Regions from separate parts of the Mus musculus genome. Here all the other regions are reported to be linked to region 3. Evidence: microRNA targets listed by miRTarBase, many of them from high-throughput screens and not tested one by one. Region 3 holds a microRNA gene; each other region holds the end of a gene's coding sequence.
Evidence for each region. Region 3 holds the annotated microRNA mmu-miR-295-3p (AAAGUGCUACUACUUUUGAGUCU, at 2,543-2,565, opposite strand). A microRNA usually pairs through its seed, bases 2 to 8, with sites in the 3' UTR of a target mRNA and lowers its output. Matches are read on the target gene's strand: a 7mer-m8 pairs with bases 2 to 8, a 7mer-A1 pairs with bases 2 to 7 and ends in A, and an 8mer does both.

Region 1 (8,119 bases), not on the chromosome of region 3:
TTCTACAACTCTCAGTGATGGAGTTCTACAACTCAGTGATGGAGTTCTACAACTCTCAGTGATGGAGGAGTTCTACAACAACTCTCAGTGATGGAGTTCTACAACTCTCAGTGATGGAGTTCTACAACTCAGTGATGGAGTTCTACAACTTAGTGATGGAGTTCTACAACTCAGTGATGGAGTTCTACAACTCAGTGATGGAGTTCTCCAACTCAGTGATGGAGTTCTACAACTCTCAGTGATGGAGTTCTACAACTCTCAGTGATGGAGTTCTACAACTCTCAGTGATGGAGTTCTACAACTCTCAGTGATAGAGTTCTACAACTCTCAGTGATGGAGTTCTACAACTCTCAGTGATAGAGTTCTACAACTCTCGGTGATGGAGTTCTACAACTCTCTCAGTGATGGAGTTCTACAACTCTCAGTGATGGAGTTCTACAACTCAGTGATGGAGTTCTACAACTCTCAGTGATGGAGGAGTTCTACAACAACTCTCAGTGATGGAGTTCTACAACTCTCAGTGATGGAGTTCTACAACTCAGTGATGGAGTTCTACAACTTAGTGATGGAGTTCTACAACTCAGTGATGGAGTTCTACAACTCAGTGATGGAGTTCTCCAACTCAGTGATGGAGTTCTACAACTCTCAGTGATGGAGTTCTACAACTCTCAGTGATGGAGTTCTACAACTCTCAGTGATGGAGTTCTACAACTCAGTGATGGAGTTCTACAACTCATCCATCACTGAGATAGTTGTAGAACTCCATCACTGAGAGTTGTAGAACTGCATCACTGAGAGTTGTAGAACTCCATCACTGAGTTGGAGAACTCCATCACTGAGTTGTAGAACTCCATCACTGAGTTGTAGAACTCCATCACTAAGTTGTAGAACTCCATCACTGAGTTGTAGAACTCCATCACTGAGAGTTGTAGAACTCCATCACTGAGAGTTGTTGTAGAACTCCTCCATCACTGAGAGTTGTAGAACTCCATCACTGAGTTGTAGAACTCCATCACTGAGAGTTGTAGAACTCCTCCATCACTGAGGTGTAGAACTCCATCACTGAGAGTTGTAGAACTCCATCACTGAGAGTTGTAGAACTCCATCACTGAGAGTTGTAGAACTCCATCACTGAGTTGTAGAACTCCATCACTGAGTTGTAGAACTTCATCACCAAGTTGTAGAACTCTATCACTGAGAGTTGTATAACTCCTCCATCACTGAGAGTTGTAGAACTCCATCACTGAGAGTTGTAGAACTCCATCACTGAGAGTTGTAGAACTCCATCACTGAGTTGTAGAACTCCATCACTGAGAGTTGTAGCACTCCATCACTGAGTTGTAGAACTTCATCACTGTGTTGTAGAACTTCATCACTGAGAATTGTACAACTCCATCACTGAGAGTTGTAGAACTCCATCACTGAGAGTTGTAGAACTCTATCACTGAGAGTTGTAGAACTCCTCCATCACTGAGAGTTGTAGAACTTCATCAATGAGTTGTAGAACTTCATCACTGAGTTGTAGAACTTCATCACCAAGTTGTAGAACTCCATCACCGAGTTGTAGAACTTCATCACCAAGTTGTAGAACTCTATCACTGAGAGTTGTATAACTCCTCCATCACTGAGAGTTGTAGAACTCCATCACTGAGAGTTGTAGAACTCCATCACTGAGAGTTGTAGAACTCCATCACTGAGTTGTAGAACTCCATCACTGAGAGTTGTAGCACTCCATCACTGAGTTGTAAAACTTCATCACTGAGTTGTAGAACTTCATCACTGAGAATTTTACAACTCCATCACTGAGAGTTGTAGAACTCCATCACTGAGTTGTAGAACTCCATCACTGAGAATTGTAGAACTCCATCACTGAGAGTTGTAGAACTCCATCACTGAGAGTTGTAGAACTCTCACTGAGAGTTGTAGAACTCTATCACTGAGAGTTGTAGAACTCCATCACTGAGAGTTGTAGAACTCTATCACTGAGAGTTGTAGAACTCCATCACTGAGAGTTGTAGAACTCCATCACTGAGAGTTGTAGAACTCTATCACTGAGAGTTGTAGAACTCCATCACTGAGTTGTAGAACTTCATCACTGAGAATTGTAGAACTCCATCACTGAGAGTTGTAGAACTCCATCACTGAGAGTTGTAGAACTCCATCGCTGACAGTTGTAGAGCTCCATCGCTGAGAGTTGTAGAACTCCATCGCTGAGAGTTGTAGAACCCCATCGCTGAGAGAGTTCTACAACTATCAGTGATAGAGTTCTACAACTCTCAGTGATGGAGTTCTACAACTCTCAGTGATAGAGTTCTACAACTCTCAGTGATAGAGTTATCCAACTCTCAGTGATGGAGTTCTACAACTCAGTGATGGAGGAGTTCTACAACTCTCAGTGAGAGTTCTACAACTCTCAGTGATGGAGTTCTACAACTCTCAGTGATAGAGTTCTACAACTCAGTGATGAAGTTCTACAACTCAGTGATGGAGTTCTACAACTTAGTGATGAAGTTCTACAACTCAGTGATAGAGTTCTACAACTCTCAGTGATGGAGTTCTACAACTCTCAGTGATGAAGTTCTACAACTCTCAGTGATGGAGTTCTACAACTCAGTGATGGAGTCCTACAACTCTCAGTGATGGAGTTCTACAACTCAGTGATGAAGTTCTACAAATCTCAGTGATGGAGTTCTACAACTCTCAGTGATAGAGTTCTACAACTCTCAGTGATAGAGTTCTACAACTCAGTGATGAAGTTCTACAACTCTCAGTGATGGAGTTCTACAACTCTCAGTGATGGAGTTCTACAACTTAGTGATGGAGTTCTACAACTCAGTGATGGAGTTCTACAACTCAGTGATGGAGTTCTCCAACTCAGTGATGGAGTTCTACAACTCTCAGTGATGGAGTTCTACAACTCTCAGTGATGGAGTTCTACAACTATCTCAGTGATGGATGAGTTCTACAACTCTCTGTGATGGAGCTCTACAACTCTCAGTGATGGAGTTCTACAACTCTCAGTGATGGAGTTCTACAACTCAGTGATGGAGTTCTACAACTCTCAGTGATAGAGTTCTACAACTCTCAGTGATGGAGTTCTACAACTCTCTCAGTGATGGAGTTCTACAACTTAGTGATGGAGTTCTACAACTCAGTGATGGAGTTCTACAACTCAGTGATGGAGTTCTCCAACTCAGTGATGGAGTTCTACAACTCTCAGTGATGGAGTTCTACAACTCTCAGTGATGGAGTTCTACAACTATCTCAGTGATGGATGAGTTCTACAACTCTCTGTGATGGAGCTCTACAACTCTCAGTGATGGAGTTCTACAACTCTCAGTGATGGAGTTCTACAACTCAGTGATGGAGTTCTACAACTCTCAGTGATAGAGTTCTACAACTCTCAGTGATGGAGTTCTACAACTCTCTCAGTGATGGAGTTCTACAACTCTCAGTGATGGAGTTCTACAACTCAGTGATGAAGTTCTACAAATCTCAGTGATTGAGTTCTACAACTCTCAGTGATAGAGTTCTACAACTCTCAGTGATAGAGTTCTACAACTCAGTGATGAAGTTCTACAACTCTCAGTGATGGAGTTCTACAACTCTCAGTGAGGGAGTTCTACAACTCTCAGTGATGGAGTCCTACAACTCTCAGTGATGAAGTTCTGCAAATCTCAGTGATGAAGTTCTACAACTCTCAGTGATGGAGTTCTACAACTCAGTGATGAAGTTCTACAAATCTCAGTGATTGAGTTCTACAACTCTCAGTGATAGAGTTCTACAACTCTCAGTGATAGAGTTCTACAACTCAGTGATGAAGTTCTACAACTCTCAGTGATGGAGTTCTACAACTCTCAGTGATGGAGTTCTACAACTCTCAGTGATGGAGTTCTACAACTCTCAGTGATGGAGTTCTACAACTCTCAGTGATGGAGTTCTACAACTCAGTGATGGAGGAGTTCTACAACTCTCAGTGATAGAGTTCTATAACTCTCAGTGATGGAGTCCTACAACTCTCAGTGATGAAGTTCTACAACTCAGTGATGAAGTTCTACAACTCTCAGTGATGGAGTTCTACAACTCAGTGATGAAGTTCTACAAATCTCAGTGATGGAGTTCTACAACTCTCAGTGATAGAGTTCTACAACTCTCAGTGATAGAGTTCTACAACTCAGTGATGAAGTTCTACAACTCTCAGTGATGGAGTTCTACAACTCTCAGTGATGGAGTTCTACAACTCTCTCAGCGATGGGGTTCTACAACTCTCAGTGATAGAGTTCTACAACTCTCAGTGATAGAGTTCTACAACTCAGTGATGAAGTTCTACAACTCTCAGTGATGGAGTTCTACAACTCTCAGTGATGGAGTTCTACAACTCTCAGTGATGGAGTTCTACAACTCTCAGTGATGGAGTTCTACAACTCTCAGTGATGGAGTTCTACAACTCAGTGATGGAGGAGTTCTACAACTCTCAGTGATAGAGTTCTATAACTCTCAGTGATGGAGTCCTACAACTCTCAGTGATGAAGTTCTACAACTCAGTGATGAAGTTCTACAACTCTCAGTGATGGAGTTCTACAACTCAGTGATGAAGTTCTACAAATCTCAGTGATGGAGTTCTACAACTCTCAGTGATAGAGTTCTACAACTCTCAGTGATAGAGTTCTACAACTCAGTGATGAAGTTCTACAACTCTCAGTGATGGAGTTCTACAACTCTCAGTGATGGAGTTCTACAACTCTCTCAGCGATGGGGTTCTACAACTCTCAGCGATGGGGTTCTACAGCTCTCAGCGATGGGGTTCTACAGCTCTCAGCGATGGGGTTCTACAACTCTCAGCGATGGGGTTCTACAACTCTCTCAGCGATGGGGTTCTACAACTCTCTCAGCGATGGGGTTCTACAACTCTCTCAGCGATGGGGTTCTACAACTCTCTCAGCGATGGGGTTCTACAACTCTCTCAGCGATGGGGTTCTACAACTCTCTCAGCGATGGGGTTCTACAACTCTCTCAGCGATGGGGTTCTACAACTCTCAGCGATGGAGTTCTACAACTCTCAGCGATGGAGCTCTACAACTGTCAGCGATGGAGCTCTACAACTCTCAGCGATGGAGTTCTACAACTCTCAGCGATGGAGCTCTACAACTCTCAGCGATGGAGTTCTACAACTCTCAGCGATGGAGTCCTACAACTCTCTCAGGGATGGAGCCCTACAACTCTCAGCGATGGAGCCCTACAACTCTCTCAGCGATGGAGCCCTACAACTCTCAGTGATGGAGCTCTACAACTCTCTCAGCGATGGAGTTCTACAACTCTCTCAGCGATGGAGTTCTACAACTCAGTGATGGCTTTCTTGCCTATATTGCTCAAGGCTTTAGGTTCAAGTACCATCACTGGGGGAGTGGGATGGGGAATTATTGCACACGTGTACACTTGTAGACACACACAGACAGACACACCCCCCGGGTGGGTGCAAACAGCACAAGTAGCCAGTCCCAAACACACACACACAACACACACAGACACACACCACACATCACACACACACATACCACACCACATGCACACACACATACAACACACACAGACACACACCACATACATACACACACACACACCATTTGCTCTAATGACAAGACATTATAAATCATCGAGAAGTATTTATTGAGCACCAGCTTTGGGGTCGGGTGTGAGGACTCGGGACAATGCAGGGTGCTGTCCCTTCTCGTGAGACGCTTACAATCTGAGTGGAGACAGGGAGGGAGCCACAATACATGTTCTTGGGGTGCGGGCTAAGGGTAGACAGTCCAGACCAGGATGTTACAGAAACAGGGATGTTTGGGGCTGGAGTCAGACCCACTAAGTGCTTTGACACCCACGGTATTCAACACTGAGAAAGGATCAGCCATTGCTCAGTGTCCTGTGAGCTCCCTTAGCCCCCAAGACACCATCTTGGCCTGGCTCCTTGTACAACTGCTACTAAGAAATGGGAGAAGTCACTGAGAACCCCAACTGGGGTCCCCATCCCAGATAAGCCCACCCCCACCACCACACACCATAGAATGCTCTGGGAGGCCTGTCTCACCACCAAGGACCCACCCTAGACCCACAATGCAGGGGGTTGCCACTGGAGCTGCCTAAGGTAAGACCAGGGAATCCCACTTAGTGTACCCTGCATATACATTCCCTTCCAGTCCACTGAGCTGTGGGGCAAGTGCCTAGATATGCCTCCTGCCGACCTGCAGAAGGGGAAGTATGGGGTGGGGGAAAAGAGCAGCAGATCACCAGATTAACCCTCCAAAATAGAGGGGCAGCTGGCAGAGACCCACAGGAGAGGTGGGCTCCCCAGGAGTGGCAAAGGGGATCCAGAGTGGGGACCATTCCTGTCTTCACAGGTCTGAGCAATGTCAAGAGTCGGGATATTACGGTTGAGTCCTAACTGCCATCCCTGTTCTAGGCTGTGACTGCTTCACTGTCATCCTAGCTGGCCTTAGAGGTGACAAGGAGACCCCAAAGTCCTACTCATTTTTCCAAAGTGCTATTCAGGTCTGAGGATCACCCCCAGGTAAGAAGTGGCAAGGAACCAGGCAGGGAATGGGGGGAGGGGGGTTGGGTGAAACGGATGCAGATGGGTTGATATCAGTAGGACTGTTCCTCCGGTATAGGAAACACAGAGCTTGGGTTGGGAGGGGCTTAAATAATAATAATCTACATAATAGAAATCCCCCACACTAAGGGCCCTACCGTCCTACTAATTTAGGTTTGTTTTGTTTTGGTTTTTTTTGTTTTGTTTTGTTCTTTTTTTAAATAACTTTAAGTTTGGAGACTGGGAGAGGGCAGGCAGCGTATATACAGGAGACGTTTAAATTAAAACACAAATAATAATTAAGACACACAGAGTGAGGGCTAAGGCCGAAGATGGGGAAGAGGCCTCCTGACCCACAGCAGAAGAGGGCGGGGCTCCCGTGGGCACTTCAGGGTTTTCTCTTGCAGAAGACCAATCTGCGCTTGGAGTGATAGAAATCTGTGGAGAGAGAACAGATGTCAGGCCAGATGCCAAGGGGAAGGACATCATTCCCCAGAGTCTAAGGGACATGTGGCTCATCGTGGGGAAAAGCCACAGCCACAGGGCACAACACCTCCTGGTCAGAGGGACAGGGCTCTAGAGAGGGTAGATCCCCCAACGCCCAGAGTTAGTTATAGGAAGTTGTCATTTCCGGTGCTGGGAATCAGGCCCTCAGCAAGAGTAAGTGCCCTCATCTGCTGAGCCATCTCTTCAGCCCGGCTCCCTTCTTAGAGCTCTACTGCCAATCACCACACTATCCTGGGCATTTCGGTCACTGCAGAGAAAAATGCCTGGATCATATGAACATCAACTGTTCCTCTGAGCCCCACGAGGTCCCACGCCTATGGAATGGCTTGGTGGTGGGGAAGGGCTGGAATGTTCTCTGTAAAGGCCATCCTCAAATGGTGGCCTCTCCTCTCCAGGCCTCTTGCAGGATCTTTCTCCTTCTCTGCTCCTGTCCTTACCTGTCAGGCTGGTCTGCCTCCGTTTTCGGCCCTGAGATGTTCCGGGCCCACCCGGGGAATCTTCAGGCCGCTCAGACACCAGAGTGCAAGACAGCGACAAGGCCACGTGGTCCTCCGGAGCTGGCCCCTGCAGCAGGGCAGAGGAAGTACTGGGCCTCTTGTCCCCTCCCAGGTCGTCACGGCTGCGGGACCCAGGGCTCAGGTAGACCTTGGGCAGCCCTAGGCTCCGAACGCGCTCCCAGACGAAGTTGCCCTCCAGCGGCGTCTCCGTGACGAAGTCAAAGTTCCACCGTTCTCGGGCCTCCTGGAGACAGCCCGCCATGAGCGCATCGCAATCACGGCGCAACTGCTCACTGTCCACGGGACCGAAGAGACAACGGCACACTTTGCTCCTGTGCGGAACAGGTCGGACATCACCAGGATTGGACATGGTGCCTGTGGCTGAAACACAAGAAGGACCCGGGTCACTATGGAAACTACCCCATCACAGTCTTCAGGCTCCCTCTGGTCCTTGCAGGTGCTTTTCCACCACACCATGAGACTAAGGTGGGTGTTGAGTTCAGCCAGCCCTGCACCCCAAGGTCAC
Region 2 (8,119 bases), not on the chromosome of region 3:
AGTGCTCTTACCCGCTGAGCCATCTTGCTAGCCCACAAGTTAACTTTTATTTCGTGAATTACACACAAGTCCTCTCTTCTTAATTTCCCACTACTGCAAGTCTGTTAGCTACATAGATGTTATCTGAAAGGCAGGGAACACTGTGGCTGTATGTTCTGCACTGTGTCTCATATCAGCTGTAGCCACATGGTCACCTTCTTGCTCCAATAGCTACAGATTCCAGGACAGGACCACAGGGGAGACCTAAACTGTGTCAAAACCCCAAATATGGGGAGAAAAATGGAGTGAGAGTACAGGAAACTGTTATCCTATCTCAAAACAACTGCAGGCTTGTCCGTCCTACGTGACCTCTGGGGCTAATCCCCATGGCAGCTGGCAGCAGAATCTTTCCAGCACGTCAATGCTAAGTGGAGACCAAGCATGTGACCTTCCATCTCCTCTACCAAGCTCTCAGGATACGCTGTTTTTATCCCTCCCCCTTGTTCCTCTGCCAGACCCCAAGTGCTAATAGGTTACACCTATTAAAGGAAGATACTAGATAGTGCCACAGAAGCAGTGATACAGAAACAATAACAGATGCTGGTCACAGAGTCACTGGGCCATAGAAAAAGCATTTGTTTTTGCTTTCTCCTGTTTTCTAGATTATTATAAGCACAAGTACCAAATAAAGTTAGCCTCTTCAGAAAAAGAATATTAAGGACCTACTATGAGCATGTCATTTAAAATATCTACCCAAATATAACCTGTATGTGCTCACTATGGACAGATGAGGAAAACCAGACAGAAGCAAAGTAAAACCAGTAAGGTCTTATCAGTAACGTTTGACATGTGATTACCAGTTGTATTTATAACCTTTGTCACTATACATACATGGCATTTGTATGTTCTCACATCACAAACACTGGGGTATGGCAATGAATAAAAAGAAGGCGCCATATGGATCCCAAACATCACTGTGAGTGCCCAAGAGAACTTGACATGGAGAAGAGCTAGCCAGCTTTAAACTGGCAAATGACTCTTAACTGAGGGGAGAAATCCAAATCATAGATCCAAGGAAACTTCATACTTACCTCCTCTTTGAAATAGGGGACTCCAGTATAAAAATTTAGATATGCACACAAACACATTTACATACACCTACCTTCCCCCATGCCCATCTGCAACTTTAAGTAGCTATTTAAATATAAAAATAAAGGCCCCTTTAATAAGTAAAAACCCCAAAATTGAGAAAATACCTTCAATTATTTAAGAAGTACTTAGATAGCCCTGTTTCTAAGAAATCATCTGAGAAGGTCCATCTGAGAAGGTCCAATGATGTGTCTATGGTGTGTTCATAGGGTTTCTAAGCAACAGATACATAGGAAGCCATTACTTGAAATGCATTTTAAATTTAGGATTATGAGTCAGCCAGTGCTCTTCAAGGGTTTTTAACTCACAGACTCTCAGTCTAATGTCCCCTGTTAACTCTTCAGAATGCCCACAAAGAAAGAATGAAGCAGACTTTCTATTATGTTTAGAGCATAGGAAATCTTTGTGACTTTTGTCATCACATGACCTGGTCTTCTGAAGATGATGCTCAGATGGGGGCCTCTCTATTTCTGCCCCAGGAGACTACTGCTTTTCCACATCTATAATCTGCACCACACAAGCTCTGTTCGGAACGTCACTGCTTCCTCCTGACAGTGCTGGGGAGGGAATGGATTTGTAGAAGACAAAGCAGATGATTAAATAGCCTTTCTTCTGTATTTCCTCAGACACTGGACAAACAAACAAGAGAAGAAAGCATCTGAGTTCTTTGAAGACAGAAGAAAACAAAGTAAATTTAATTTAAAAAAATAATACCCTTGTTTGGGTGTTTGAAAGTGGGTTTTCCTGAGTATTAATCCCAGCTCTATCTTGTTAGTTAAACAGAAGACAGTCTCAAATATTAAACGGTGGCTAACCCAGGGTGAGGAATCTAATGGCCCATAGCAGGTCTTCCAGCATTAGAAGACAGCAGGCAGGAGAAACATGCTGTCTTGTATCCCTTAAGAAGGAATCATTTGCTCCCAACAATATAAGACTCCATCATGTGACCCATTTGGTCATGGTCTAAAATTAGTAAGAACTCTGAGGTTTTATATTGAGACCTTTTCAAAGTTTTCTCAAAGTCTAATATAGACAATATTTTTTGTGGCATAAGTCAGGTCCATTTCTTTAGTGATTGAAACACCTGGCCTTTGCAACTAGTTTTTTTACCATTGGGATATATTCCCCCCACCAAAAAAAAAAAAAAAAAAAAAGTAACCAGGAACGTGTGACTTGGCAAAAGCAGTTGAAGACATGGCTCATGAAGTCCTGACCCTTGGTCCCACCACAACAAAGTACAAGTCAACAGAGATACAAAACCTAGACTGAGTAATTCTTAATAGACTTGAATTTTTATGACTTAATCCTTCTATCTTTTAAATATTTGTCAGATATTTTAACATTGTTCTCTGGAGCTTGTAAGCTGGGCAATGGTGGCACTCACCTTTAATCCCAGCACTTGGCAGGCAGAGGCAGGAGGATTTCTGAGTTCAAGGCCAGCCTGGTTTACAGAGTGAGTTCCAGGACGTCCAGAGCTACACAGAGAAACCCTGTCTTGGGAAAAAAAAAAGAAGAAGAAGGAGAAGAAGAAGAGGGAGGGAGGGAGGGAGGGAGGGAGGGAGGGAGGGAGGGAGGGAGGGAGGGAGGGAGGGAGGGAGGGAGAAGGAAGGAAGGAAGGAAGGAAGGAAGGAAGGAAGGAAGGAAGGAAGGAAGGAAGGAAGGAAGGAAGGAAAGAAAGAAAGAAAGAAAGAAAGAAAGAAAGAAAGAAAGAAAGAAAGAAAGAAAGAAAGAAAGAAAGAAAGAAAGAAAGAAAGAAAGAAAGAAAGAAAGAAAGAAAGAAAATGAGCTTGTAATTGAGGTGACACATAAATTTTGCTGAAAGACAAAAATGCCTAGGTTGATTTTACTTCTTCTCTTTTTTGCTTTCTTGAAAAAAGTCACAATTGTCCCATGCTGTAACCAAGTCTGGCCTCGAACTAAACTATGTATTTCAGGCTGGCCTTGAACTCTCAACCATCCTGCCTTAGCTTCCTGTGTCCTGGGAGCTTGAGAACTGTAATTTTATTATCAGATTTTTCTTACTTGTTTTCATCAATTTGAAATGCCCAATATCCAATACTTTGTATTTCATTTGAGACTCATCTCCGCCATGCCTCTGTCACACTTCTAACACATCACATTAATTTCTAGTTTAGATGTGATCAAGTTCAAATTCTGCACTGTGCAAAGTACAAGTTTTAGAGCAGGACCATTTTTTTTTATCACATAAAAGTTGAAATTACTAGAAAATGTGCATATGGATGCTTGTAAACTGCTGTGCAAAGAGAAGAGCCCTCAACTGTAATAGCTATAGAAAGTACCAGGATTGTTGCCGCTGTTTTGTTTTACCTTAACAACAACAACAACAAAAATCAATAATGAAGAATTATTTATGAACGAGATCTCACATTTTCAGATTGCTTTTATTATTCATTAATGTAAAATGATAAAGAAGATCTATCTCAGAGGCTATAGCTGGGAGCAGAAACTGTGAAATTTGTGGGTATCTGAACACCAACCCACATGCAAAGCCCCACAAGTGTAGTCGTCATTCAATGTGATTCAGAAAGGAAAGAGTCAAGGGATATACTGGAATATGTTAGAGAAGTAGTTCCAGATATGCTGGAATGTTAGCCCTTGCTAGGAGAAAGCTGGTTGTGCCTATGTAATATAGGACAAAGGTGACCGATTTCATCAAGTTTGGAGTCAATTCTAACAATAAAAATATGTATAATTTGTCACCGGCATCCCCATTATTGCTAATTCATTACAGTATATACACATCCATGCATACATATGTCAATGATGCTTTAGCTTTCAATTTATTTATTAGCTGTAAATAATGTGTGGGTATGTAAGAATGCTTGTAAACACTGGAAAGTCTGTTGTGGTTATCTGCAGTATAGATTTGTGGTGCTAACTTTGTGTCCGTCTCCATCCATGATTGTCTGTCTCACTGAGCCAACTTAACTCTGATGAAACAGTACAATGAAATAGGCTTTTGAAAGAAGAAAACTCACCTGTGTGAAGAAATGGTATCTGCTTTCAATAAAACTGAGAACATTTTATCATGATACTAAGTCATCATTTTGTATCATTTAGCCCTTTCTAAAGAAGAAATTAGATTTATTCTTAGGCCAGATTCAGACAACAAATTTTGACTGAATAACCACTAAAACATAGAAGTAAAATAAGTTTCCCATTAGATGTCTGCCTGACCAGCTAAGGAAATCAAATGGATCAATGTAATCTCAGCTCCTCTGCTCTGTGACAGTGCATATGTCCAGACTTCCCAATAAGCTACTGCTACACTTTGGGTACCAACAAGTTTATTACATCTCCCATCTTTTTTTTTTTTTCTCACAATACTCTAGATGGGACACCGCATCTGGAGACTAAGCATATATGCACATACACAGAACAACGGGACCAGGACCAGAGCAGAAATCAGTTTCCACAGTTGCTCCAATGACTGCTGACCCTTGGTGTCAATACCCGAATATGTGTAGTCTCTCCCTCATAGATATATGTGACCAAGAGCATGCTGAATAAGTTATAGCATATTGTTCTAAAAACTCAGGTTATTGTAGACTTCACCTTCCACTGGGGTCCCTCTTTCATGCTGACTCTGTCTTGGGGCACTCACCTGGAGGAATTCACGTTAATAAAACTCTAGAGAGGACCATGCGATACCAACTGCAGCTAAGACCATTCAGAGCCCAAAACTGGAACTCTGAGCATATGAGTAATTTGAGCTAGCTCCCTTACATCTAGTCAAGCTCCAAGGGCATAAATGAAAGATACATAGTTTGCTTTATCTTACTAATTTACTCCGTGTAAGTAAAACATTTATAAGTCCAGGTTTTGAAAGAACCAAGGAAGGTTAGTTACTCCTGTACTGAATTATCTGCAGGGTGGGTTTAATTTCCAATACTTTCTTTCCCTTTCTTTCTTTTCTTGTTAATATAGAACATAGAATTTATTACAGAGTAAAGTAGAATAGTCTCAAGGGGTCAGAGTAGACAATAGCCAAAGCTACCATGTTGTGTTAGAGACTAATGCACATACACAGAACAACGGATAAATGTAAAGCTACCATGTTGTGTTAGAGACTAATGCACATACACAGAACAACGGATAAATGTGTGCTTACTCCAGATAGGAACTGACAACAGAACAAATTAGTGCTATGACTGAGTTTAGTGTCGTTACTTACAGAAATATGAGTGAGGGCTTACTTACACAAGCTTCATAACTGAAAGAACACTCTAATGCACGTGACAACTCATCAAAGCTGCAGCCCTGGGACTCTCTGAGTGACTTGCTGACAGCTCACCAGGTGGGAGAGTCTGTTTCCTCCTCAGTCCTTGCTACATATATCAACAGTGGGGAGCAAGGGGCCTTGCAACTCCACTAAGGTTCAGGGTAGTCTTGATAGCTATAAGGTACTTCCTGAATCTGAAGAAGTCTTTCTTTAGAGTGTCCCAAGTCCTACCTAGCATTCCTCCAGGATGAAATGTCCTGTTTCAAAGGGAATTGGTACACAACAGATTGCCCATATATTGCTGTTTTTACCTATTAATACTACACTTTTCCACAGGATAGGATTGTTTATGCAGACATTCTTCAACCAAATGAGATCTGCAGCTAAGAATAGCCAACTGAGTTATATAACATTGCCATCCAGAAAATTGGTTCAGCACACAAACTCTCATGAAATTCTTGTGGTTTGTGAATTTCATGACTATTAGTTGGCCCACTTCCCCCTGCACTTCCAGTAGCATAACTGCAAGTTGTTGGGTGGTCTGCTTTTTCTAGCTTTGAGGACCTGTAGTCAAGTGTCCTTCAGCACAGGGACTAAAGAGGTAAGGTGGAACCTTCCTGGAATATACAAAGGTCTAGCTGAAGAGACAGAAAAAGCCAGCTGGCATTGTGTCCCAAGTCCTAGCCAAGCTTACTGAATGCCTCTCCAGTCATTACACTGTGTGTGATAAATAAGCTGTCACTAGGCCTAGATGACTCAGCAATTGGGACATTCTAGAGGAAGAGAATTGAACTCTCTCCCTAGAAGCCTGGAGGATATGGCACAGGAAAGGGAGCAGCAGAAAGAGGTTACCTTCAAGCTCACTGCACTGAAGATGAGTTTCTTTTGAGATGCACATGTTTGCACATAACTCCACAGGATAGCCACTGTGCATCCATATAAACCATAGCTTGTGCCCCCTTGCCAAACCTGATGGAGAACCCTGAGTCCTGCACCAATCTCTAGTCCAGACATCTTCCTAGGATCCATAAGTCTTTATTGTTTGATTCCATAGCTATACCTTCTCCCACACACTTTAAAAATGTTGTTGGCTGTCTGTTATTTTTCTTTTTCTTCCTTCTCCCCACTTGGTGTGGTTGATCAAACTTGAGGTCTTGTATATGATGCTAGAAAAATATCTGCCCTTCTACAGTGCTCCTTTTTTATTTCAGATCTTTTATTTTTGTTTTGGAGTAGGCCAGTCTGTTGGTCCTCAAATCCATGGTCCTCATCTCTCTTTCCTTTGAATTGAGATTGCAAGTAAGTATCACCATGTGCAGACTTTCCCATTCTTTATCACAGAGCTACACCACCAGTCTTATGGAATTATTTTGATTCCTTCTTGCCTTAAACTAATTTGAATGTGGTCTTATAAAATCTCTACTGAACTCTTAAGACACTACTTAGAAACTACTAATTCACTAATGTTCTAGACAAGAAATTTTATTTTGCTCATTAGATCTTTTTGGAGTTCAGGGTTATAACCAATAAGTTACTCCTGACCCACACTTCAGGGAATCCTTAAGCTGCCTATTTATCCCACCAGCACTGGACCTGCAGGCTGGATGTTAGAAATGAAGTAACTGTCTGGTTGTCCTCATTGCCACTCTACAAACTTCATGTGGCTGTCTTATACTATTTCATTCCAATCAGGAATACTTGAACTTGGCATTGTACATGCTTTCCCACAGCAGAGTTCCAATGGGGGGAAAAAAGTTCTCCATTTGATATCCTCAGTCTTCTTATCAGAGATTAGGTTACAGTAAAGCTGAGTGGGAAGCCCCACAGGCTTACGAATAAAGGTTATGTATAGAAAGAGCCACTCAAGCATGAAACACAACTCCCCCCCAGGTATAACTTTTGCTTTTTGGAACAAGCAAAAATAAGCAAAGAGATGGGCAAGAAAATAAAGATGTGGTCAGAACAGGTTTACACACTCACGTTGGTTTTAGGACACAGACATGCGAATAACTGGCAGCTTGAAGGCTGCTAGAAGCGCTAAATGAGAGGTTGGGGTGGTGGCTCAATAAAGTGCCTCTGGTGCATGCAAAAAGACCTGTGTGGATACCCAATCCAGCATTCTTAAAGCATGTGGTAAGTGGAATACATAGAGACTCTCATGCCAGCCAGCCTGAAGGATGAAGGTAAGAACCAGCACCCAGTTGTCTTCTGACCCACATATGCATACAGCAGCAGGAGTGCACTTGAACTCACAGACAGCAACACACAGTCCTAAACTCTCTCTCTCTCTCTCTCTCTCTCTCTCTCTCTCTCTCTCTCTCTCTCTCTCTCTCTCTCTCATTAAGAAGAGAAATGCAGTTGATACTGGTTTGTGGTTCTAGATGGCCATGTTGTTCACTTCTGGAGGAACAGAGGGGTAATAGACATGGAGGAAGCCCTAATTACATGCAATCTCAGTATAAGGATCAATTTGCAGTCTAGGGATTTGCTGACGAATTATTTACTGTTCCCAATATTCCTACTAACACTGATTTTCAGGAACAGTTACCAAAACTCAAGTAAAACACAAGGAATCGAGTCAACTTGTAGTTGTGGACTTGTATACATACAAGCCAAGGGTAGTAGGTGAAGTAGGCAAGTGAGTTAATCACCATGCAAAGAAACGGCATCTTTGTTCCAGGACTGTAATAGCTACAAACATGTCTGATGGGATCGTGACGGTGGAGTGTCTTCTCACAAAACTGCATG
Region 3 (8,119 bases):
GGCTCACAACCACTTATAACTACAGATCCTAGGGATCCAATAACATCCTCTGACTTCCATTGGCACTGCATATAGGAGGATCAGGCATACATGTATGCAGAATACTGATATGAATAAAACAAAGGGCTGGTTAGAGGGCTCAGCAGGTGAAGCGTCTACCTTGATTACCTGAGTTCAGTCCTCATGACCCATGAGTAGGAGAGAACACATACAGAAAACTCATCTCTGTCTCGCTGACACATCATGGCATACAGTCAACAAAGAAAACCTAGGAGTATGGATCCCAGCTTCAGAGGAGGGTCCCAAGTTCAAGGACAGCCTGGGCAACTTAGTGAGATCCTATCTTAAAAGATGAGCTAGGAAGATGGCTCAGCAGGAAAGCACTCAAGTGTACACATGTACTAACCCTACAAGTATTTTAAAAATTTGCATTTGTTATGTTCCGGAATCCCAGGGCATGTACTTGTAAAGTCTGAGGCCAAGTTTGAGGTGAGTGCTCCATGAGCTGTCTCAACTACCATGCACTTAAGATTATGTTAATTATTCATATATATACATATATATATACACATATATATATACATATATATACATACACACATATATATATATGCATGCGGGAACCACAGGCAAGAAGGGGATGTCCTATCCCTGGGAGCTGGATTTAAACGGGTTGAATGGTTGTATGTAGACTGACCTGTGCAAGAGCAGAAGCATACGATCAAGCCTCAGTAAATATTTAAAAAGGAGTAGGGAGACTCCCTTTTCACCAGGCTAAAATGCAGCATACTGTACTGATAGTCCCATGTTTGTCCCCAGGCTGTTTGGGATGGACCTGAATAAAAAGACTCACAGGAGGATGGCAGCACTTCGAGTCACAAAACCGTACCTGGATATTGGGTGTTGAGCAGTAAGGAGAACCAGAATGAAGCCGACCAGGATATTTATTCCCTCTGCTTTGAAGCACTTGAGGTGGAACTTTTAAAGGCCAGCCTCTGGTATATGGTGAGGTGGAGACAAGATCACTCAAGGTCATCCTGTTACATGGGACCGTCTTAGGTCAGGAGGCCCAGTAAGTGCAGGTTGACAAAATTGTTCTGCTTGAGACCTAAACACTCAACCTTTGATGGAGCTCACTGGGTTTGATGTAGATTCCACGCAGATAATTTAGGACGGGGATTGGCTGGTTAGCAGGTTTGAAGATCAGTAAAGACCACAGAAAAGGAAAAATATCCAGAGTCCTAGACATTTCCATGGACCAAGACTGCCATCTACTGGCCAAGTCACAGCATAAAGACCCACAAGGTAATTTTTCAAAAATTGTACTCAAGGGCTGGAGTGGTTAAGTCAGAGGTCCTGAGTTCAATTCCCAGCAACTACATGGTGGCTTGCAATCATCTGTAATGGGATCCAATGCCTTCTTTGGGTGAATCTGAAGATAGCTACAGAACACTTATAAATCTTTAAAAAGAAAAATTGTACTCACACCTGAATTTTATACAGCAGGGGGAAAAAAAAGTGGGCTGGGGCTAAAGGTATAAGGCACCTTACAAATGAGGCCTCAAAACCCAAGATTTGCACACCTGGTATAGTTGACAGCCAATGCTCCCATCCTATCCTGGGTTATTAGATTTTGCCCAGCTGTGGTGGTGTTCGCATTGAATCTCAACACTCCAGAAAACTGAGCAAGGTGGCCAAGGATGCAGAAATCATGGCTGTGCATGACTCACGACCTGACACTAGTGAGGCCTGGCAGACATCATTCCCAGCAACCACGTGGTAGCTCCACCACTTATAATGGGATAACTCCGCCCACTTCCAGTACAGTACCCAGAGATCTACCTTTATTATATTAAATTCAAACGCTATCCAGAAGTCCCCTATATCCTCCCCCACACCCTGCTCCCCAACCCACTACTTTTTAAAACCTGGCACCACCCCATTTCAGGTTAGCTTGTAACCATCCAGACACTCCACTAAAAGGAACTGGCCATGATGTATAGAAATGGAAAAGACTCACAGTATATAAACAAATGTGGGCTTAAATGTGGCTATGCTTAAAGGCACCTTTAAGCTAGTACAGGGTAATTCTTCCTTAAAACCATTGGAGGGGTGGCATGCCTAAATCCCAAGAGGCAAACAGGGGTGTCTCCCAAAAGGTGCCCTATTACTGTTGAAAACACTTCCAGCTATGTGTTGGTTTAACTTTTGGGGATTTTTTCAGACAGGGTTTTTCTGTATAGCCCAGGATTACCTTTAGTCTCAACCCCAGTGATTAAAAGGGTGCTTGCATGCTTGCAAGCTTTTTTTATCCCTAGGAACCATGGCGGGTGTTTTAAAACAAAAACTGAGAAAGCAGCAAAATCAAGAGAACAAGACTTTATTATTCATGTTTGGAGGCTGAGGGCACTGGTTGCTCCCATAGCACCTTGGTTCATTCAATAGCACCCACATGTCCCAGTTCCAGGAAACCTTCATCTGGATTCAGATACACACTACACATGCATGAAAGCAGCCGACCTGTGAATGGTGCCCACAGGAGAGACTCAAAAGTAGTAGCACTTTCTATGTACAGTCCAGAAGTGTGCCCCACATTTGAGTCTCACCAAGATGAGCAAGCAAGGAGTCTCTGGTTGATTGAAGTTCCGATGCTTTCTCCACATGGCAACACACAAAAGGGAAGCACTTTCCACTTAAAAGCTTAGATAGGGCCTCCATTTTGAGTATGGCTATATGGAATTTCGCTAGATCCAAACATGCCTACAACTGAACTGAAGATTAAGGATTATTCAATGCCAAAAGGATAAATGCAGCTATATGTAATACAGTACCTGTCAAATCTGGGTCACTTCCCGTGAGGTTCCGTGCACCTCAGCTTTTACTTTTGCCCCATTACAGACTGAATCATACCCACAGATGACACCCAAATGATGCAACACTTAGGCCAACTGCAGTTTCTCAATCGGCAACACTACAAACTCTGCGGCACTTCTTACAAAGAACAAAATGTCACACAGTTTGAGTACCACAGATTGAAGCATTTCCACAGGGACCTGCTGTGGTAATAAACCTGAAACTTTATAGTCAGTTCTTAGCCAGACCAGCCAGCCAGGCAGGTTGAAGGCAAGTAAGTACCCCAGGCTAGGCAGGATTACATTCAACTCAACTGGAACACCTGAAAAACAAAGAGAATCCATGAAGATTATGCTTAGGGCACACAATGTAACACCTGTAATCCCAGCCCTCATGAGCCTGGGCTATTGTAAAGCCAAAAGGTATTATGGGTATTATCTACCCGGCTGTCCACCAAGCTTGTTTGTGCTAGGAGCCAGGTTAAAGTCAGCTACAGCCAGCAGGTCCTAAAAATTCAATCCAACCATATCAAGACTCACAACCATCAGTCCAACTACAGTAGTCAAGCAAGATATAGCAACTACAGTAGTCAAGCAAGATATATAGGATCTTTTAATCCCAGGTGGATGGAGCTGAGGCCAGGCTGGTCTACAAGTGAGTTAGCTCCAGGACAGCCAGGGCTACAGAGAAACCCTGTTTGGAGAAAAAGGAAAAAAATTGAAAGAGGACTTAATATGGCGGCCACGTGAGATTTAAAAGTAGGCCTTTCTTTACTCAGACCTGAGGCTTAGACTCACCACCCCTGGACCTGGAGTGCCTCCTTCCACCCTGCCCTGCTTCCTCCTCACCTCCAGCCTTGCAGCTCGAGTAGCCAGTGGCAACGAATTCACCTCCAGCACACATACCTGTTTCAAGCAGGTAAGCGATTCCAGGTTGCAGCTGCAGCCGGCTTTTCAGACGCCATGTACACACAGAGACAAACAAAATGGATGCACTTTCCCGCCAAGCCGCGGAGAGGGCCTCCACTTTGATCGACACTGTATGTTCCAACTTCCAAGACCTGAGGCTCAGCTCCTCCGAGCGAGGCCCATGTGGGATCCCGGCTCCTTTATGAACGCGGAAAGCCTTTAGTACCGCATGCGCCCAAGTGTTCGGACTCAAACCCACATGTGACACCCACCTGCCCAGAAATGCAACCCCAGTGAAAACATGACCCACTAAAACTTAATTCTTAGTTCTTAGCCGTTTTGAGTTCTCAACCGGTGACACTCAAAACCTGGCGGCACTTTTCTTCCGATGAAAATCCAAAAGAGCCCCCAGTTTGAGTATCACAGGCTGGAGGTCAAGCTTAAGAACAATCTACAATGCACCTGGACTCACGACTGCCTTACATCCATCCGCGTCTCGTGGCACCCAACTGAACCGCCCTCTTTAGGATAGGACCCATTAAACTCCAAGCCTAAACCCCCACACAGGTTGTCCGCTCCTGTAAACCGATGCGTCAGATGCAAAGCTATGATGTTTTCCCCATGCAGTGGCACACAAAGTGGAAGCACTTTCTCATTCAGGCTCAAGAGAGGGCCTCCACTTTGATGGCCGCTACATAGGTGTAACAGCTCCAAGCAGCGACAGGACGCACATGGAGCCCCCAGGTACCCTACAACGACCACCTCAGTTACCGTCTACTGGGCAGGATGCCCATCCCTAGCCTTTCGCTATACTCAGTCTCATTCCTTTCTTCGAATCCGTACTCACCACGCTGCAGTTAACCCGGAACACGTGGCACCAGGGCTGGTAAATGTGCCAGATAGCCGTTTTCTCAACCGGCGGGGCTTAAAACTAGGCGGCACTTTTTAAAGAAAAAAAAAAGTGCCCCCATAGTTTGAGTACCGCAAGATGAGGCGGTCCAGACGTTAAAACATTTACCAGGAGGAAAGAACGTGGAGAACTTAAAATTCACTCCAACCTGAAGGAAACCTGGATGAAATCAAGGAAGAGTTAGTACATCGGTCTAACTCAAGGTATAGTGAAACTCAAAATTTCTACAATGAAACCACGTAGTTAATGAAATGTACTGCATAGACTCCCTAGACCTGCCCTCAGTAACTCCTAGCTTTGGTTTCTGGTCCCCAAACTTCACTCGCGCCCAGACTACTCACTTTCCCCACATAGGCTCGTTCCTCCCTTGAAATTATGTAGACCAAGTCAGAAAAAAAAGCCCAACTCTTTTTCCACACACATTAGTTCTAAATGTCTTCTTTGGAGACCAGACCAACCTCAGATGGGCCTGCCTCTGCCTCGGGATTAGTAAACCCAGCCAAACCGTGGGGGCGAGCGAGGAAGGCTGAGTTCGCGGCTAGCCTGCCTTTTAAAAAAGGGGCTCTAGTTTTTAAAAAGTAGAATGAAGATGGCCGTGATGACCTTTAATCTGGAGGCAGAGAGGCAGGCAGAAATGAGAGTTAAAGGCCAGCCTGGCTAGTCATCTCCAAAGTTGAAGCAGGAAGATCTCTCTTCTGGAAATCCTGGATCTACTTTCGCCTCTCTAAACCAGGTAGATTAAAACCACAGAACTGAAGGAAATAAAAAATCTGAAACTAAAAATATTACCTTTGCCTATGTGAGAAGCAGCACGCCGGAGGTATCCCTGAAGACCGCAGAGACCAGCATTCCCGATGTGGAGTAGAAGTCTCTGAGAGGCGTGGGGGAGGCTCTAGGTTCTTATATAGTCTGAAGGCTCATTGGCCCCCTGGACTGGGAGGCTCTGATACCCCTCCCCCACCCCGGAGAATCCTTACTCTACCACCCTGCTTCCTCTGAGCTGAGTTTCCCTGCGGCAGAGTGACCTTCACTGGTTTCTTCTCCCCCCCACCCCCCAGAGGAAACAGATTTCTTTGTTTGTTTCTAGAAGCAGCGCCTTTAATCCTATAGTTTTCTAGGCCGAGGCTGGAGGATCTTTGTTAGTTCAAGGCCAGCTTGGTCTACTATGGTGACTAGGCACGGGACTAGGCAGGGCTACATTCAGTATTAAGATAATAATAAAAATAAATAAAGGAAGAATGTGGGAGGTTCAGTTTATTCTTTCGTTTGAATTTTTTTTAAATCCAGAGTTTCAAATCCTCCCTCTTTTTTACCTTTCTTTCTTTCTTTCTTTCTTTCTTTCTTTCTTTCTTTCTTTCTTTCTTTCTTTCTTTCTTTCTTTCTTTCTTTCTTTCTTTCTTTCCCACACTGAATATGAAGGTCCAAGAACAATATGATAGAGTTAGTTTTCTCCTATGCTTAAATATGTTTTTTTTGGGGGGGAGGGGGTTCAAGACAGGGTTTCTCTGTGTAGCCCTGGCTGTCCTGGAACTCACTCTGTAGACCAGGCTGGCCTTGAACTCAGAAATCCGCCTGCCTCTGCCTCCCAAATGCTGGGATTAAAGGCGTGTGCCACCATGCCCGGCTGTTTTTCTTTTGTTATTATTATTGTTGTTGTTATTATTATTTATTAAATATCTTTAAATAGCTCCATGGATTGAAATTAGGTCTCCAGGCGGCAGGGCTAAAGCTACAGAGGCATATTGCAGACTTGGAGTTTAGGGTTTGTTTGTTTGTTTGTTTGTTTTTTGGAGACAAGGCTCAAGTACGCCAAGCTGGCCATAAGCTCATTAAATAGCCAAGAATAATTTAGGACTCCTAAGTCTACACCTTGTGTGTGTGTGTGTGTGTGTGTGTGTGTGTGTGTGTGTGTGTAATGGAACATTTTTAAAAAATTAATTTAATTTTTAAAAATGTATTCACCCTACATCCTACTCACTGCCCCCCTCCAGGTCACCTCCTTCTACAATCCTTCCCCCAACCCCAGTCTTCTCCTCTGAGTCGCCCCCCCCCCCCCAGCACTTCCAGTCTGTGGGGCTAGGTGCTTCCTCTCCCACTGAGGCCAGACAAAGCAGCCCAGTTTGACCATCATAACTCCGGGACAGGCAACTGCTTTTGGGATAGCCTCTGCTCCAGCTGTTTAGGACTCACATGAAGGTCAAGCTACACCTCGGCTACATGTGAGCAAAGAGGCCTAGGTCCAGCCCATGTGTGTTCTTTGGTTAGTGGGGACTCATAAGTCTTTGTCTCCAATCTTCCAAGGGCTGGAATAGGCATATACCAGTATGCCCAGTTCAGTCATTAATTCCAGGCATATTTAATATACTTTAGATGTCTTGTTAATTGAACAAACAAGCCTCACCAGCAATTTGCTAGGTCTTAGGCTTGGGGAAGCAGATAGAGATATGGGTTTGGTCAAGTATAATGGCACATTCTTTTAATTCCAGCAATGGGTAGGCCAAGCAGCTACAAGTGAAACTGTGCCTCAAACAGCAGCAACAAGAAGGATAATTCTTTCTTTCTTTCTTTCTTTCTTTCTTTCTTTCTTTCTTTCTTTCTTTCTTTCTTTCTCTCTCTCTCTCTTTCTCTCTCTCTCTCTCTTCCTTCCTTCCTTCCTTCCTTCCTTTCTTTCTTTCTTTCTCTCTCTCTTCCTTCCTTTCTTTCTTTCTTCCTTTCTCTCTCTCTCTCTCTCTCTCTCTCTCTCTCTCTCTCTCTCTCTCTCTCTCTTTCTCTCTTTCTTTCTTTCTTTCTGACTGGATCTTTCTAGGCTAGGATGCCAGGAGCCTAGCCTGGGATGAGCTACTGATTTAGCTTCTCTTCAACTTTCCCAAGATGGCCTTGGCAACTCTGTTCCCTGTTCATACTGTGTTGAACATAACCAAGCAAAGTGCCCCACTAACTTAACCCTAAGAATTTTATTTATTATTTATTTATTTATTTATTTATTTATTCACTCACTCACTTCCTTACTTGCTTATTTCTTGTGACAGGATCTTGCTAGGCAAGAGAGGCCTGGAACTCACTATATAGACCAGGCTGGCCTCCAAGTCACAGAAATCCACGCATCTCTCTCTGCTTTCTCGAGTATGGGCTTGTACCAAGCTGGCCCACAGTGAGCGTTTTAAAATTATGTTTTGTTGGACATGGTGGCACACGCCTTTAATCCCAGCACTCAGGAGGCAGAGGCAGGCGGATTTGAGTTCCAGGACAGCCAGGGCTATACAGAGAAACCCTGCCTAAAAAAAAAAAAAAAAAAAAAAAAAGTTTTATTTTTGGTGTATGTTGCAGGGAGGGGCAGAGGTGAAATGGAAGCATATAGGTGTTAGACAGTAGCTTGTAGCACTGAGTTCTGTCTTACCTCTTGGGGTCCAGAGATTGCCTTCAGGTCTTTGAGTTTGGCAGTATACCT
Region 4 (8,119 bases), not on the chromosome of region 3:
CAAAAGAAACCCTTTTTCTCTTCAAGTTGCTTCTGCTTATGATGTTTTATCACAACCCGAGACACTGAAAGGAAGACCAGTACACTCACTTGACAGATTTTCTTCTTCAGTGATTTTTTGTATTCGCTGCTATATTCCTAATGTCAATCAAAGAGCAGGTATTCAACAAACACTCTTGCCTTAGTTAGGGTTTTACTGCTGTGAACAGACACCATGACCAATGCAAGTCTAAAGGACATCGTTTAATTGGGGCTGGCTTGCAGGTTTAGAGGTTCAGTCCATTATCATCAAGGCAGGAAGCAATGGCAGCATCCAGGCAGGCATGGTGCAGGCAAAGCTGAGAGTTCAACATCTTCATCTGAAGGCTGTTAGTGGAAGACTGACTTCCAGGCAGCTCCAGTGAGGGTCTTAAGCCCATGCCCAGAGTAATACACCTACTCCAACCAGGTCACACCTACTCCAACAAGGCCACACTTCCAAATAGTGCCACTCCCTGGGGCAAGAATATAGAAACCATCACACATAAATGATCAAATAAAAATGTTAAGTATATAACTCTCTCTCTCTTTCTTCTCTCTGAATGTATACACTCTTTCTCATCTACCTCCCTTCTTTCTCCCTTGCCACGGCAACTTCCCTGTCCTCATTCTTGGGACCAGTAAACCCACATCCCAATAAACCTGCCTTTATATACTCTAAAAAAAAGTATATAATTTTCATCATAACCTCTGAAAGCTTTATGACTCCAAAAGAGTTAAAACAAACAAACAGACATGTACACAACATATTTCCTAGTATACAATCTGTATTAGTTAGGGTTCTCTAGAGTCACAGAACTTATGGATAGTCTCTACATAGTAAAGGAATTTATTGATGACTTACAGTCTGCAGTCCAATTCCCAACAATGGTTCAGAAGTAGCTATGAATGGAAGTCCAAGGATCTAGCAGTTACTCAGTCCCACACGGCAAGCAGGTGAGGGAGCAAGCTAGACTCCCTTCTTCCAATGTCCTTATATTGTCTCCAGCAGAAGGTGTAGCCTGGATTAAAGGTGTGTTTTACCACACCTTTAATCCCAGAGGACCTTGAACTCAGAGATTTAATCTTCTGGAATCCATAGCCACTATGCCTCAAGATCTCCATACCAAGATCTAGATCAGAAACTTCTATCTCCAAGCCTCCAGATAAGGGTCGATGGTAAGCCTTCTAATTCTGGATTGTGGTTCATTCCAAATATAGTCAAGTTGACAACCAGGAATAGCCACTACAATCCACCCCTTGTCAACTTGACACAAATAATATCTCATGTTCACATGAAACAATAACAAGGTTGTGAATACACCTAACATGATATAACTATCCTCGTACAATCGCAAACACATTTGTAAATTTACAATGTCCTTTGGGAACATCCTTTTAGTGTCTCAACTTAAATACAAATTGATGTTAAAGAAATTGGAAGAAAGACAAATATATTCGTTAGCAAAATAAGACGGACATTCATATTACTTTATAATCCTCGTTTCTGCAACTGGTTACATGGCCTTAATTGGTATTTATAACTACCTTCCTCTACTACCCATTCTGTATTTCCTTCACCTTCAGCCAGCACCTCAGCAGGTCTTGGCTCTTTTCCTGGAGGATTGACCATACCTTCATTCCTGATGGGTCTGCATCCTTTGTCATCCTGCTTGGATTAGGCTGTTGTAGTTTCCCATTGACTTTAATCACAGGACATGGTAGTACTAAGAGACACCCTAAGAGATCTCCTACATTCCAGACATAATCTTGCTTACCTCCATTGTGAAGAGGTAATCCAATTTCCCCATGGTAATCTGGATCTATCACCTCTCCTAACACTGTTATTCCTTTTTTAGCCTGTTGGTTTAAGGGCATTAGAAGCCCAAAATGACCAGGGGGAAGTCTGAGCTTCCAGTTCAATGGAATGTTTGTTGTAGCTCCTGGTAGGAGCACTCCCCTCTCTGGAGCCAAAACTTTTAGGCCTGCAGAGCCTAGAGTTATGGGGACAGGAAGCAAAAATTTTCCCAGAGGGTCACTAGGAGTGATAGTAAGTGGAACTATTCCATTTTCCACCCCTTGATTCCTGGACCCATGGATCCTGGCTATGGGGGAAACTGCACCATATATCGAACACTGATTCAAAGCATATACTGCCTTCTGAAGAACTCTGCCCCAGCCTTTCATGCTATTACCACCTAATTGGCACTGTACAGGCCATTCCATCTTTCCATCAGACCAAGGAAGCCAGTAAAGACCATCCCTCCATGGTCTCTGCATCAGCTCCTGCTTCCTGACCTGCTTGAGTTCCAGTCCTGACTTCCTTGGTGATGAACAGCAGTATGGAAGTGTAAGCTGAATAAACCCTTTCCATGCTTCTTGGTCATGATGTTTGTGCAGGAATAGAAACCCTGACTAAGACACAATCCTATCTAAATAACTCAAATCATTATGAGAAATAGCTGACAGGTTTGTTTGTTTTCTGGACTGAAAACGTAGCTCAGTGGAAGAACTAATAGATACAACTCCTAGTATTAGATTGGCGACAAATTTATTTTAAAATAGTGCATTCCTGGAACTTGAAGGCCACTATGAACTAGATGTTTGTGCCCCATTCACAAACTCCCCATGTGAAAGTTCTGTGAAGTGGAGTATTTAGAAAGTGATTAGGTTCTGACTGTGAAACCCTTCCTCCTTGACCAGGTGAACACTCAGAGCGCACCCCCAGAGCCTCATGTGGACAGTAGATCTGTTTGTCTGTGTCCTCAGTTTCCTGACCTCTAAGAGTGTAGGCCAGAAAGTGTTGTTCACAAACTCCTCAGTTATATCTTGTTTATAGCAAGCCAGGGAACTAAAATAGGCAATGACACAATGTTTATTAACATTCTGCTAACAATGTATAATGCAAAAACTCTAGGCCTAATCAATTAACATAAGAATCTAATATTTATTGTGATCTTTTACATACAGCAATGATCAAATAATGCTCAATAAGTTACACAGATATTTTTAAAATACTGTAAAACTGGATGAAAGAGAAGGAATGATACCATGAATGTATTACTGATACCTAAAAATAATCATCTTTTAAACACATTTCAATTGATGATTTCTGCATGAACAAAAACATTTTAATGCAGAAATCATTTCTCTAATACTGCAATGGATGCTAGCTGAAAGCTTGATTTTATCGCACATATTTGGTTTAGGTTTATATGACCAGATGTCATGCAGAAAAATAAGCTGAGTATAAAGTTCATGAAAGTAGGCAGGATGTTATTTTGTACTATAAAAATTTGATGTGCGGTGACATTTCACAGCTACATTTCACGAAGACATTTCATATCTTCAGGATATCTTATTCAAGTATTACATAAAAATCACTAATTAATCACACATGCAAGCTAAGAACTATGGTAAAATAGCTCTGTTGATATATGATCATCCCCTTGACCACCTACATAAGCAGTCTTCATATTATTTTTTAAAACATTAAACAACAAATCTTAAATACAGATGTATATTTGTTTATGTCACAAGCATTCACATAATTGGCACATCATCAGAATTTTATTATTTTAAATATGGGAAAGTCAGGGGAGAACTGGGGCTAGAGGTACCCTGTAAACCAGTTTCTAGATAAAAACTTCTCTCTTTTACCTTTCAAATTCACGGTGCCAAAGCACTGACTAGTTGTGCGGATCTGTAAACATTCTTGTTTGTTTGCACGGTTTCCTGAGGTAATCTGTTAGTACAGTGGCCTCACAATTTAAAATTTCTACAAATGTGCTTTGGAAAACTTCAAAGTAAGAACAAAAATTTAAGTGTAGATCTGGGTGATTTTTCTATATTACATAAGCTTGATAAGAAATTCCTAGATATCAAATCAAACCATTTTCCTACATTTTCAGGTGACAAGAAAAACACTCAAACTTTAGGTCATTAAAAAAAAATACATTCCAGAATCTCCTCAGAACTAGGTAATAAATGAACATTTTATTTGTACATCACTACTAGAATAATGTATAAAATCATATAGATTTTAGGGTGTTTTTTTTTTCCCCAAGGTTTTTCAGGCAAGGTTTCTCTGTGTTGTCTTGGCTTTCCTGGAACCTGCTCTGTGGACCAGGGTGTCCTTGAACTCAAATCCACCTGCCTCTGCCTCCCAAGTGCTGAATCTAAAGGCATGGGCCACCATCACTCAGCAGGTTTTTCTGTTTTAAAGGCTCATAAAATACTATCATATGCCCGGTATTGGAACCTGCTTAGATTGTACATGTCTTAATAGTATCTTTTCCAGGAGAGAGGGGGGAAAAAGGCTGACCGCTTGCATTTGTTTGGGGGTGTGGGTGCAACTGCTATGACAGGCTAGCTTGAACAAATAAATTATTTTTCTCATTCATTGCTCTGGTGCTAGACTCTTCCGTGTCAATAGATTAATAACACTGAATGTCTGATGAAACAGAAGACACTGGAAAGTTCTTTTTAGAGGACACAACTGGGCTCTACAGATAAAATATATTTCTTCACCTTCAATTAAAAAAATTCAAATACCATTGAAAATTTCTCCACAATCTTAAAATGTCTCCATTAGACAATCAGTTTCACCCAGCCACATATCAAGAGGCAACACTGGGGACTTTATGTTACACATGTTAAGAAGGTTCCATCCTGGCTAAAGGTCTGGACAGTTTACAGCCTCTCTCCCTCACATTTGCCCATAGAATCAAACACAGGCACTGATGACTAAGACATTGAACCTGTTCCCTTACATCTTGATTCAATACTATGTATCAGTGAGCCACTTCATTGATTATTGAAAATCTTGGTAGTAATATTTTTCATGCTAAGTTTTCACAGTTCAATCCTTTGAATGCTAGAAGAAACTATTCTGTGTTACTGCTTATTTAAGGGGAACAGAAGTGGCAAGTCTGTGTCCCATGAAAGTAGCCAAGCCCACCTGAATATTTTCTTTGTTTTGCTAGGGATGGAACCAGGCAAGTGCTTTGCCATTGAACTACAACCCTAACTATCCACCTGAAGTTTTAAATAAATGCTTATGAAGACAAAACTATGCTTAACATGTATTAATGTATAGAAGTAAAAAAGTATTATATATTCATTGTTGGTTATAAGAATATGATCTCTACCATTTATAAATATAATTTGGTGGTTTACAGTTCAAAGATATCCTTAAACTTTAAAGTATTCTATATTCCTATATAGACTATAACTTCTATTTACCAGTTTTATGTGTTGTAAATTATCTTTCAAAGACTGCAAATGATTAGTTTATGAAATGTTTCAATACCTTCAAATATTCAAAGCAATAAGCGAATCAATTCATTACTTGTAAACTCACACTACCAAAATTACAATGGCTCCTTTTTATACTACTGACTCACATAAAATATGAAAAATTAATTATGTTACATTAGGCACTAGTTCAGACTGTTCTAGAAACTTTTCCTATAGACTAACACACACACCACTGCAGAGCCCTGAGATGATTTAAAGTGGGGTGGTGCAAGGATGTATGATTTTCCTTTCATAGTTATAAACTCACATCAATGTTTACTAGAAAAATAACTAGCACATAAAAATGTGAAGTATGATTCAAAACAGCCAAGCTTAAAAAAGGCTTCAACAAAAAGTAAGCAAATTGTAGCATAAGATATATTGGATCCACTCAGGAAGGTTGTATTACATTAGGAAATAGTATACTAAAGATCCAATTTAGCATCATCTTTGAATGCATGTAAGGATGAGTCATATCATAGAGGGGGTTGCTTTACTATCAACTCTGTGTGTGTGTGTGTAGGGGCAATTTCCATGGACATGAAAATTAACATAAAACATGTTTTTACATTTAAAAATATAGATTTGAGCCAGGCAGTGGTGGCGCACGCCTTTAATGCCAGCACTTGGGAGGCAGAGGTAGGTGGATTTCTGAGTTCGAGGCCAGCCTGGTCTACAAAGTGATACAAAGTGAGTTCCAGGACAGCCAGGGCTACACAGAGAAACCCTGTCTCACAAAAGCAAAAAAAAAGAAAAAAAAAGAATATAGATTTGAAAGCATTAATTAACTTTTTGTTTAATATTTCAAGACAAGGTTTTATTGAATAGCCCTAGTTGGCCTCAAACAGAGATCTGTCTGCCTCTGCCTCCCAAGTGCTGGAATTAAAGGCATGCACAACTGCCTGTCAAATTAATTAATTTTTTTTTAAAGGATTCACCACATGTTGAAAGAGTTAAATAACGCTGGAAGGATGCACTATTCCTAAAGACTAAGAAGGCACATTACATATTATGGTTACGACTTCAGCATTAAAATAAAAATGAACTAAATAACAATGAACAGATATTATAATATTCTTTCATAAAAAAGAAGATAAGCTTGTGCACTCAGGGCTCTTGACTCTGGAACCACCTGCACATAGGTGTCGCTGACATGGACCCAGTGGCCTCCCAATTCACCATCAGGTTCTTTCAAACCTAGCAGAACAGAAAGTACAATTTTACAGTTAGTGTGTTTATGTCTTCTAAATTGTAAACACTGACACAGTTATTATGAGCTGTATTTAATTCTAAGATCTATAAGATCTAAGATTGATAACTACTTCCAGTTAATAAATTTTTAACTTAAAAATCTAGTGAAATATTAGCCTTATAATAATTAGTTTCCCAGAGAAATATTCATTTTCACCAAAAAAGAAGGTGGAGAAACTGGTGAGATGGTGCAGGGAGGAAAGGGGCTTGCTGTGCTAGCCTGGGCAGCAGCTCCATCCCCAGAGCCCACACAGAGGTGGAAGGAGAGAACTGAGTACATGAGATTGTTCTCTGACAGCCAAACATAGGCACACATACATACAACACACACACAAATAATAAATATATGTTAAAAGCTAATAACAGAGATGGACATGGTGGTACACACCTTTAATCCTAACATAAGGGAGGTAAAAGCAGGTAGTTTTTGTGATTTTTTGGCCAGCCTAATCTATATAGTAAGTTTCAAGTTAGACAGAGCTACATAGTGAGCTCCTATGTCAAAATAAAACAACAACCTAACAACACCACAACTAATAAAGGGGAGGTAAAAGAGATGGCTCATCAGTTAAGACCACATACTGTTCTTTTTTTTTTTTTTTTCCTGGCTCAACGATGGCTTTATTTAAATTAAAAATTTCTTTTTTTTTCTTTTTTTTTTTAATTAGGTATTTAGCTCGTTTACATTTTCAATGCTATCCCAAAGGTCCCCCATACCCACCCCCCCAATCCCCTACCCACCCACTCCCCCTTTTTGTCCCTGGCGTTCCCCTGTACTGGGGCATATAAAGTTTGCAAGTCCAATGGGCCTCTCTTTGCAGTGATGGCCGACTAGGCCATCTTTTGATACATATGCAGCTAGAGTCAAGAGCTCCCGGGTACTGGTTAGTTCATATTGTTGTTCCACCTATAGGGTTGCAGTTCCCTTTAGCTCCTTGGGTACTTTCTCTAGCTCCTCCATTAGGGGCCGTGTGACCCATCCAATAGCTGACTGTGAGCATCCACTTCTGTGTTTGCTAGGCACATACTGTTCTTGCAGATGATTAAGAGTTCAGTTCCCAGCACCTGCGAGCATCGCAGCCAGCGCTGCACCTCCAGCTCCAGGGATCAGATGCCCTCTTCTGGACTCTTTGCGCAAGTGCACTTTACACCCTCACATTCACGCAGACACCCATTGACAAAATCTAAACCCTTTGAAAAGAAAGGAATCCAGGGAATGGAGAAGCAAACTCAATGACCTACAGTAATAGCTAGCACGTTTCCAAGTCCCGCTCTCTGATAGCTGGTGTATCTTCAAAAGGGGAATGTGGCTGAGGATGTGGTTAGAAGCACTAGCCACACAAGCTTGATGATCTGAATTTGACTCCACAACCAGGGCAAAACCACTCATCTATCAGTGATATGTGTCAGTTATCCCAGCGTTCCTATGGGACGATGGGAGGCAGCAGCAAGAGAATAGCCCAGAAGTCCCCAGGCCTGACATACACAGCCCAGGGGCAAAATCAGGACAACAAGATGGAAGGCCAGAACAAACTGCTGGTATTTACTCGCAG

Region 1: miRTarBase lists Cdkn1a as a target of mmu-miR-295-3p. Seed matches in the 3' UTR shown: 7mer-m8 at 6,537-6,543 and 8mer at 5,864-5,871.
Region 2: miRTarBase lists Lpl as a target of mmu-miR-295-3p. Seed matches in the 3' UTR shown: 7mer-m8 at 2,523-2,529.
Region 4: the mRNA of Usp45 is a reported target of mmu-miR-295-3p. Seed matches in the 3' UTR shown: 7mer-m8 at 6,187-6,193, 7mer-m8 at 5,017-5,023 and 7mer-m8 at 4,185-4,191.

What each region holds. Positions count from the first base shown.
Region 1 is chr17:29,098,252-29,106,370 of GRCm38, reverse strand. Cdkn1a (cyclin-dependent kinase inhibitor 1A (P21)) reads right to left here. Exons shown (of 3, transcript NM_007669.5): 2 at 7,534-7,974; 3 at 5,649-7,027. The coding sequence starts at 7,963. The coding sequence ends at 6,978. Among named protein-coding and RNA genes, the nearest start is that of Cdkn1a, 8.5 kb to the right of the region's middle.
Region 2 is chr8:68,902,752-68,910,870 of GRCm38, forward strand. Lpl (lipoprotein lipase) reads left to right here. Exons shown (of 10, transcript NM_008509.2): 10 at 1,755-4,181. The coding sequence ends at 1,755. Among named protein-coding and RNA genes, the nearest start is that of Lpl, 26 kb to the left of the region's middle.
Region 3 is chr7:3,215,261-3,223,379 of GRCm38, reverse strand. Mir295 (microRNA 295) reads right to left here and starts at 2,607; the gene lies at 2,539-2,607. Nlrp12 (NLR family, pyrin domain containing 12) reads left to right here. Exons shown (of 10, transcript NM_001033431.1): 10 at 820-1,870. The coding sequence ends at 907. It overlaps Mir290a (microRNA 290a), which reads right to left and starts at 4,754; the gene lies at 4,672-4,754. It overlaps Mir290b (microRNA 290b), which reads left to right and starts at 4,685; the gene lies at 4,685-4,742. It also overlaps D7Ertd143e, Mir291a, Mir292, Mir292b, Mir291b and Mir293, and 1 more gene. RefSeq lists a cis regulatory region at 7,778-8,119.
Region 4 is chr4:21,832,628-21,840,746 of GRCm38, reverse strand. Usp45 (ubiquitin specific petidase 45) reads right to left here. Exons shown (of 18, transcript NM_152825.2): 18 at 2,875-6,512. The coding sequence ends at 6,382. Among named protein-coding and RNA genes, the nearest start is that of Pnisr, 11 kb to the left of the region's middle.